2 linked regions of the Oryctolagus cuniculus genome follow. The protein of the gene in region 1 purifies or fractionates together with the protein of each later gene. This does not show direct contact. Links are inferred from orthologs where the notes say so. Each region holds a gene or a part of one and is shown on either strand. Other genes may lie near its edges.

Region 1 (4,042 bases):
CGCCACTCCCTCACACCTGAAGTGCAAGGTTGCCCGTGCCCCTCTGCCCCTTGGGGTAGTCACTCTCCTGACTTCTGCGGCCCAGAGAAAAATCTGTGTTTCACTCGATACTTTCACCACCCATGCATGCATCCTCCAACAGCGGGGCTGAGTGCCACCTGTTGTGGGACTTCCTGGGAGTGGTCTTGCACGGTGGGCGGTGTCCTGTCTCGCTCAGCCGTATGACCCAGGAGTCCTCCACATGGGTGAGTCAGCCGCAGTGTGGAGCCTTGCATGCTCACTTTCTCTGGCCTGGCCATGTGCCTGCTTTTTTCTTCTCACTCTTTCTGCTCCTTAATCCACTTTTGTTGCAGGCCTTGGCTCTCCCGAGGCCTCCACCCTGCCCACCCCTAACTGGCCATCTCCTCCCACAGCCCCATCGTGCTGACTGTGGCCAAGTGTTGGGATCCCTCTCCCCAGGCCTATTTCACCCTGCCCCGAAGTAAGTGACGTCCAGGGAAGAGAACAGGCAGTGCGGAGGCTGGGCTGGGCTCTAGGCTGTGGAGAAGGGGCGGAGGAGGGTCAGGCACAGATGGGACAGGACTCTGAGCTTGGAGGGACGGGCCTGGCTTTCTGGGATGGGAAGTGACAATCTTGGTGGCGCTCTCTGTCTCAGATGAACCCATCCAGCCGATTGACCCTGCCGCCTGGGTGTCGCACTCTGCCGCGCTGACTGGCACCTTCCCAGCCTATCCCGGCTCCTCATCCATGAGCACCATTACATCCGGGCCCTCCCTGCCTGATGGTGAGCCCCCCCTCCACATCCCCGGGAGCCGCATCCCTGGGGGTGGGAGCCCCACCCCTAATTCTCCATTGTCTCCTCTGTCAGGCTGTGAGGGCCGGGGTCTCTCCATCCACACAGACATGGCATCTGTGACCAAGGCCATGGCAGCCCCAGAGTCCGGGCTGGAAGTCCGCGACCGCATGTGGCTCAAGATTACCATCCCCAATGCCTTTCTGGGTACGCTGGGCCCTGGGCAGGTGGCAGGGGAGGAGAGGAAGAGGAGAGAACCCAAGCTGGGCATGGCGCAGGCAGGGTGGTGGCAAGGGCTGGCCGGAGAACCTGAGGCCCTTTTGCCCTGTGGGTGACCCAGGCTCGGACGTGGTCGACTGGCTCTACCATCACGTGGAGGGCTTCCCTGAGCGGCGGGAGGCGCGCAAGTACGCCAGCGGGCTGCTCAAGGCAGGCCTGATCCGGCACACCGTGAACAAGATCACCTTCTCTGAGCAGTGCTATTACGTCTTTGGTGACCTCAGTGGCGGCTGTGAGAGTTGTAAGTTCTTCTGCCCGCCTGGCTGGGGGCGGGGCTGGCGTCCACTCAGGTTCTGCTAGACAAGCTGTTCACCGGGGTGGCCAGGGGCACCTCTTCCACGTCCCACAACAGCGCATGGGCTGCTGGTGCCCTGGCTGTGCCCTGCCCTGAAGCAGTAGTAGGTAGAGTTTCCAAGACCCTGTAACCCCCTCTCCACCCGTGTCACAGGTGGTCCTGGGGCTGTGGTTCCCGCCAGAATTTCCGTCCAGCATTCTAGGGTCCTGGCCTCCCAGGCAGTGACCTCTTCATCCCTTCCCTTGTTCTCCAGACCTCGTCAACCTGTCTCTGAATGACAACGATGGCTCCAGTGGGGCGTCAGACCAGGACACCCTGGCTCCTCTGCCTGGGGCCACCCCCTGGCCCCTGCTGCCCACCTTCTCCTATCAGTATCCAGCCCCACACCCCTACAGCCCCCAGCCCCCACCCTACCACGAGCTTTCGTCCTACACCTACGGAGGGGGCAGTGCCAGCAGCCAGCACAGTGAAGGTAAGCCGCCCCCAGATACCAGCACGTGCAGGGCGGAGAAAAGGGAAACCAGGAGAGCTGGAGCAGGGGCTGGCGAGGCCAGAGGACCCTGGGTCCCGGGCTCAGTTGTCCCACCCCTCTTCCCCCAACAGGGAGCCGGAGCAGCGGGTCTACACGAAGCGACGGGGGGGCTGGGCGCACAGGGAGGCCTGAGGAGCGGGCCCCCGAGTCCAAGTCCGGCAGTGGCAGTGAGTCGGAGCCCTCCAGCAGGGGGGGCAGCCTTCGCCGGGGCGGGGAACCTGGTGGGACTGGCGATGGGGGTCCTCCCCCGTCCAGGGGCTCCACAGGGGGTGCTTCCAATCTCAGAGCCCACCCAGGACTCCATCCCTACGGACCACCCCCTGGCATGGCCCTCCCGTATAATCCCATGATGGTGGTCATGATGCCCCCGCCCCCACCCCCTGTCCCTCCAGCGGTACAGCCCCCAGGGGCCCCTCCGGTCAGAGACCTGGGTTCCGTACCCCCAGAACTGACAGCCAGCCGCCAGAGCTTCCACATGGCCATGGGCAACCCCAGCGAGTTCTTTGTGGACGTTATGTAGAGCCGTTGGGGCCATGTCTGACTCCTCGGTGCTCCTGCTCGGTGGCTGCTGTCTGCCAGTCGCGCACCTGTTACTCCCCACAGTGCCTGGGCTCAGCCTGGCGGCTGCCGCCCACCCTAAACTTACTGCCACTGTGACTCACCAGCAGTGCCTGGTCCCTTCCCCTCCCGCAGGGGTACACAAGGGACCTGTGGTTACTCTTAGCTTTATTATTTTTTTATAAACTTTTTTGGGGTTTAAAGTATACTTTGTTACATTTTGGGGACTATTTTTTTAATAGACATTTCCTTTTTTATATGAAGAATTCCCATTTCCTGGACCCTTTCTTCTAACCCCAGAATGTAGCCTCCTCCAGTCACCCCGTTGGCTCTACCCTACGCAGGGTGGGGAGTGGTCCATGGTACCCTGGGAGGAGAAGGGGTTTGGGCCCCCCAGACAGCAGGCCAAGGAAGCTGGGGTATTTGGTACTGGGGCCGTGTAGCTGCCTTTGTTATTCTATTTATTTTAGTCACTTGTATAAAACACCAAATAAAGCAATAGAGGCAAACTCCCCAGGCCTCTGGTTCTTTCTTTGGGAGGGAGGTAGGCAGTGGAGGGAAAGACCGGAGACATAGTAGCCAAGTCTGACTTGTTAGAAACTGTATTTGTGAGGCAGCGCTCCTGAGAGCAGGCACAGTTCTGGGAATACGAGGCCCCCCTCAGGGTCCTGGCAGGGGGCCTGGCTTTAGCTTGAGAGAAGGCACTGATGGGCCAGACCCTGGGTGAGAATGCTCAGACGCCAAGGGGGCGGCTGGTGACCACGCCACCCTGCTCCACCAGCGCCGTGGAGATGCTTCGGAAGTTCCGGAAGAGCTCCTGCTGCTGGGGGTCGGACTGCAGAGCGGCCATGCTCTCCCGGATGCGGGCAGCAGCCTGTGCGGGGGGAGGGGGTTCAGGCCCGTACCTCAAGGCCCCCCCGCAGCATTTGGTAGCCGTAGCCCCAAGCCTCACCTCAATACACCAGCTGTCACAGAGTATTTTCTCGTGCTGGGCTGTAGGGTAGCCCTCGTTCAGGGCTCGTGAGGCCCTGGTTGAAAGCAGGAGAAAGTAAATCCAATCTGGGCTATGCCGCTGACCCTGGTGGGCCTCTCCGCACCCACCGCTTCCTCACCTGGAGAGAACCACCACCATGGCGTACAGGTCGATGGCCCCGTCTGCCAGCCGCTGCAGCACAAACTGTTCATCTGTCAGGTGGGTGGGAAGGGGGCGGGGCGTCAGTCTGAGCCAGAGCATGGAGGGGAGGCTGGGGGGGGGCTCACTCACTGACGATCCCCTTCTTGTGCTTTATCAGCTTGGCCTCCACCACAGCGGCAAACTGCTCCAGAGCCCGCACTGCCTGAGGACAGGGAGAAGGCACCCAGGGCTCAGAGGGACAGCCTGGGGCCAGGCGGGCCCCGCCCTGCCCCGCCCAGCCCCGCCCAGCCCCGCCCAGCCCGACGGCTTACCAGCTCACCACTCCGATTCAACTCTGGGTGCACAATCCCGCTGAGACTCAGGCCGCTGCCCAGCCCTGCCCGCCTTGGAGGAGGGGAGAATGACTGGTTAGTGGGCACTCACCCCACCCCACCCCCCGGCCCTACCTAA
Region 2 (4,720 bases), on another chromosome or scaffold:
CTTTAACTGTATTTTTCCCCAAAAGCTATTTACTGAGCCCCGCTGGGTCCTGAGAACTTAGAGAGGTGAACCCCATAACTTTAAATGGTCTGAAATTGCATACAGAATCTGAAACATTATATTTTTTTTTTGCTAGAGGGGAGCATTTGTAGATTCTTGAAGGTTGAGTGAATAACCCAAAAGATGTGTAAGGAGGAGCCGAGGAGAAGAGAGGGAAGAAGTGGGGGGCAGAAGTGCTGACAGTGTAGGAAATGGATTGTCTTCATTCGATCACGTTGGGCAGGTTGCCTGAATCTTCTGAACCGTAGTTTTCCACCTGCTTCTGGAGTGGCTGGCACACACCAGGTACTCAGAGACTCCGTGAGCTTCTCCCAACCACTGGCACCAACGCGTTTTTACAGAACGGCCCGCTTCTGCAGAGGCCTGGTACACTGCCGGTTTCCAGTTTGCGGCTCTTGGCATATGTGAAGCCAAGTGCTCTGACTGTGGGAGGACAGAGGAGTGACGGCCTCAGAGGGTCAGACTGCGGTCAGACGTGGGGTTGGTGCTGGCTCCTGTCACTCCCGAGCTAGATGGGTATCCTTAGGCAAGGCCCCCACCCTCTCCGTGCCTCAGCCCCCTCTGTAGAGGAAGGCAGACAGACATCCCTGCCCTTAGGTGCGGTGTGTGTGAGGTCCACGAGAGTTAGTGAACAGCAAGCGCTGAGAACACTGCCCCGGCGCATAGTGCGTGCAGAGCCAGTGCCAGGCTGTGGCTGCCCCAGCCTGTGCGAGGACAAGCCCATCGAGGCTTCTGAGCAGGGCCCCAAGCTTGGTGCTCACCGTCCTTTTACAGATGCGGCCCCAAAGGCCCTACAAAGCGCAGGTTGCTTGTCGTAGCTGAGATGAGGGCAAAACGGTGTTTAAACAGGTGCAAGACCTCAAAGCCTGTGTCCTCAAGGCGCTGCAGTGGAGACGAGCAACTTTAGGTGTGCAAGGGCAAGTCTGGGGGAAAACAGCTTAATCTGGAGTTCCAAGAGGGAAGAAACGTGATCCTTCTCACTCGTCAGCTCCGTGAGGTCGATAAGGGGGAGCTTGGCGATGTTCTTAGTTGTGGAACCATGGCTTACTTGAGACCCGGAGCTGCCCTGTGGGCTGTGGTCCCGCTATGACAGCACTGCTGTCCCAGTCCACGGCCACGCCCGGCTCAGGGCTTTCTCTGTCTCTGCTCCAGCACATCAACCCTGTGGCTGCGTCCCTCATCCAGAAGATGCTGCAGACAGACCCCTCTGCCCGCCCGACCATTAACGAGCTGCTCAGTGACGAGTTCTTCACTTCCGGCTACATCCCTGCCCGGCTGCCCATCACTTGCCTCACCATTCCACCCAGGTTCTCAATCGCTCCCAGCAGCCTGGACCCCAGCAGCCGGAAGCCTCTCACCGTCCTTAATAAAGGTAAAGCAAGGGGAGGGTCAGACACAGAACCCCAGAGAGAACCGAGGCCCCTAATATCACTTCTTCATGCTTCATTGAAGGAGACAGGAACAGTTTCAAATACACACCCTGAGCAGGCTGTGGGAGCCTCCAGGTCCCCACCATCTGAGCAGTCACACCTGCCCTGCGGAGCCTTCCCTGTTTCTCTGATATATTCTTAAAGTTAACCTCAGACATCTTGCCATTGTACCCATAACTTCAGTATGCGGCTTCGATTTTCTTAGGAAAATCTAACGTCACGTGCCATTACCTAGGTTGTCATTTCCTCTGGGTCTCTTCTATAGGACAGAGTCAGGAAATACTTACTTTAAAGGGGGACATCTGGGTGTATGATAATGTTTGCGATTCCCTTTTTCGTAGCATTTTATTTTGCTATTATTTCAAGGTTAAAAAAAGGTGGAAGAACAAACAGGAAGCTCCTCTTCCGTCTACCCTGTTCCCTAGATCCACCAGTTGCCATTTTTTTTTTACATTTACTTTTATCTTCTTCCTCTACCTCCCACGTATACTGCACATGAGGGTACTTCAAAAAGTTAATGGGAAAAAAATGGAATTAGAAGTTTATTTTGGTGCGAAGTTGAACCTGTAGTTTTTCATAATACAGGTTTTTCCATTAACTTTTTGAAGACATCATTCATTTGCATTGCATGCACACAGAATTGTTTAAAAGTAAGTTGTGTATGTAAGTATTCCATTCTTACCCTTAATACTTCAGTGTGTATTTCCTAAAAACAAAGATTATTTTATATAACCACAGTGCATAACAGTTATCAAGCTCAAGAAATTTAACATGGATACAATATAGTTTTAGAGCAATCTTCTTTTTAAAATATAGACTTATTTATTTTATTTGAAAGAGTTACAGGAGGAGAGAGAGATCTTCCATCAGCTTGTTCACTCCCCAGATGGCTGCCATGGCCAGGGTTGGGCCAGGCCGAAGCCAGGAGCCAGGAGGTTCATCTGAGTCTCCCATGTGGGTACTGGGGCCTGAGGACTTAGGCCATCTTCCACTGCTTTCCCAGGTGCAATATCAGGGAGCTGGATCGGAAGTGGAGCAGCTGGGACTAGAACCAGCGCCCATATGGGATGTCGGCACTGCAGGCTGCAGCTTAACCCGCCACGCCACAGTGCTGGCTCCAAAGATATGTTGTTTTGTTTTTTTTTTTTAAAGTAGCTTGAAATACTTCCTCTAGGTGTATCTCAGTTTGATAGACAACTTAAGTTCATTTGTTTGTTAGTTTTCAATATTTAGGGATTACTTTCTAGAATTTTATTGTAGAATAACTTTAGGCTTATACAGAAATTCTAAAAGATAATAGCAATTGCAGAGAGAGTTCCCATATACCCTTCCCTTGGCTTCCCGCGCATCAGCGTGTTGTGTAACCACAGAGAAGGACTAAAACACAGGGCAGTATCTTTTCTTTTTCTTTTTTGAATTCTACTTTTCACTTTGTAAATTTTTTTTTAAGATTTATTTGTTTTACTTGAAAGTTAGAGTTATGCAGAGAGAGAGAAGGAGAGGCAGAGAGAGAGAGAGAGAGAGAGAGGTCTTCCATCTGCTGCTTCACTCTCCAGTTGGCCACAATGGCCGGAGCTGTACCGATGCAAAGCCAGGAGCTCCCCGCTTCCCGGGTCTCCCACGCGGGTGCAGGGGCCCAAGGGCTCAGGCCATCTTCCACCACCTTCCCAGGCTATAGCAGAGAGCTGGATAGGAGGTGGAGCAGGCGGCAGCTTCACTGCTCCCCCTCAGCGTCGGCCCCGGTAGTTTCACACTCCAGGCTGTCTTGGGCCCTCGTCAGGTTTTCCACTTCCGCTCTTTCTGTGGATTTGGAGTTCCTCGCGCTCACACTGAGGTTCTAGACTTTGGGGGAGTGCAGCAGAAGTGATGCGCCCTTCTCCGTGGACTCTGGTTTGTTTCGTGGGTTTTTTTTTTTTTTTTTGGACAGGCAGAGTTAGAGAGAAAGGTCTTCCTTCCATTGGTTCACCCCCCAAATGGCCACTACGGCCGGTGCGCTGCACCGATCCAAAGCCAGGAGCCAGGTGCTTCCTCCTGGTCTCCCATGCGGGTGCAGGGCCCAAGGACCTGGGCCATCCTCCACTGTACTCCCGGGCCACAGCAGAGAGCTGGACAGGAAGAGGAGCAACCAGGACAGAATCCAGCACCCCAGCCGGGACTAGAACCTGGGGTGCCAGCACCACAGGTGGAGGATTAGCCTAGTGAGCCGCGGCGCCGGCTCCATGTAGTCTATCAGGGGTACACATTGATTTTTTTTTTCTCTTGTTAGTGGTGGTGTTTATTAACTGTGATCACTTGGTTACCGTGGCATCTGATGGGTTTCTCTTATTTTTATCTGAGAGAGAGAAAGCTCTCATCCACTGGTTTGTTGCCCAAATGCCTGCAACAGCTGGGTCTGAGCTAAGGCTGGAGCCAGGAGCTCGGTCCAGGCCTCCCATGTCAGTGGCAGGGACCCAGTTACTTGAGCCATTGCCAGTGCCTCGGAGGGTCTGCATTAGCAGGAAGTGGTGAGTCAGGTGACACGCAGGTGTCCTAACCGATGTATGACTGCTAGGCTCAGTGTCCCGTGCCGAGTTTAGCGCCCACGGCGGGGCCTGCCTGCAGCAGTGCTCACTGTGTTCTCGTGCTCTTTCTTTTCCCTGCTCCTGCGTTTCACTAGTTGGCCCTCTAAGGAAGAGCTGGCCCTCTCCTTGTTTGCTTATTTATGTCAGTAATGAACTCAAGGATTGTTTATTTTGTTCTTTGGGCTATATTAATATAATACTGGGGTTTTTTAAGGATTACTTTTCAGTTTAATTTTGAACTTACAGCTTTTTTTAAAAACAAAAAACTTCATGGATGTTTTCAACTTTACCCAAAGGCAGAGAGAAGTGTGCCGTGACTCCCCACGTGTTCGTCATCCGTTGTCAGTAGTTACCAGCACAGCTACTAGATTTTGATCTGTTCCATACCTTCCTCCTCCTCCCCTTTTTTCCTAGTTTTTAAAGCAAATCCCTAATATGTTACTATTTCATGCTTGCATACCTGTCACAGCATAGTTTTTTTCTTAATTGAAAACTTCTTTTAGGAAATATTTCAGGAGAATTAGACATGTTGGTGGGGAAAAGAATTAAACATTTAAGTATAAAGATAGTAATATCCATGCTTACTACCACCCAAATAAAACCAACTCCTTTGACTTATATAGAAGTACATAAACAGATTCTGGGGGTGGAAAAAGTTCCCATTTTCAC

The links.
Region 2: the proteins of DVL2 (region 1) and PLK1 purify together in Homo sapiens (affinity purification with mass spectrometry; 6 studies listed by BioGRID and IntAct, with this or other methods). This does not show direct contact. The link is inferred for Oryctolagus cuniculus from reciprocal best matches to the Homo sapiens genes DVL2 and PLK1.

What each region holds. Positions count from the first base shown.
Region 1 is NC_091448.1:51,833,083-51,837,124, reverse strand, and holds the end of DVL2 (segment polarity protein dishevelled homolog DVL-2), read left to right. Parts: intron 1-413; coding exon 414-481; intron 482-655; coding exon 656-1,000; intron 1,001-1,133; coding exon 1,134-1,313; intron 1,314-1,620; coding exon 1,621-1,839; intron 1,840-1,970; coding exon 1,971-2,419; 3' UTR 2,420-2,969; downstream 2,970-4,042. Other genes in the region: ACADVL (very long-chain specific acyl-CoA dehydrogenase, mitochondrial), read right to left, coding at 3,191-3,331, 3,410-3,485, 3,570-3,642, 3,722-3,794, 3,904-3,976.
Region 2 is NC_091450.1:15,668,384-15,673,103, reverse strand, and holds part of PLK1 (serine/threonine-protein kinase PLK1), read left to right. Parts: intron 1-1,212; coding exon 1,213-1,432; intron 1,433-4,720. UniProt on the Homo sapiens protein: Serine/threonine-protein kinase that performs several important functions throughout M phase of the cell cycle, including the regulation of centrosome maturation and spindle assembly, the removal of cohesins from chromosome arms, the inactivation of anaphase-promoting complex/cyclosome (APC/C) inhibitors, and the regulation of mitotic exit and cytokinesis.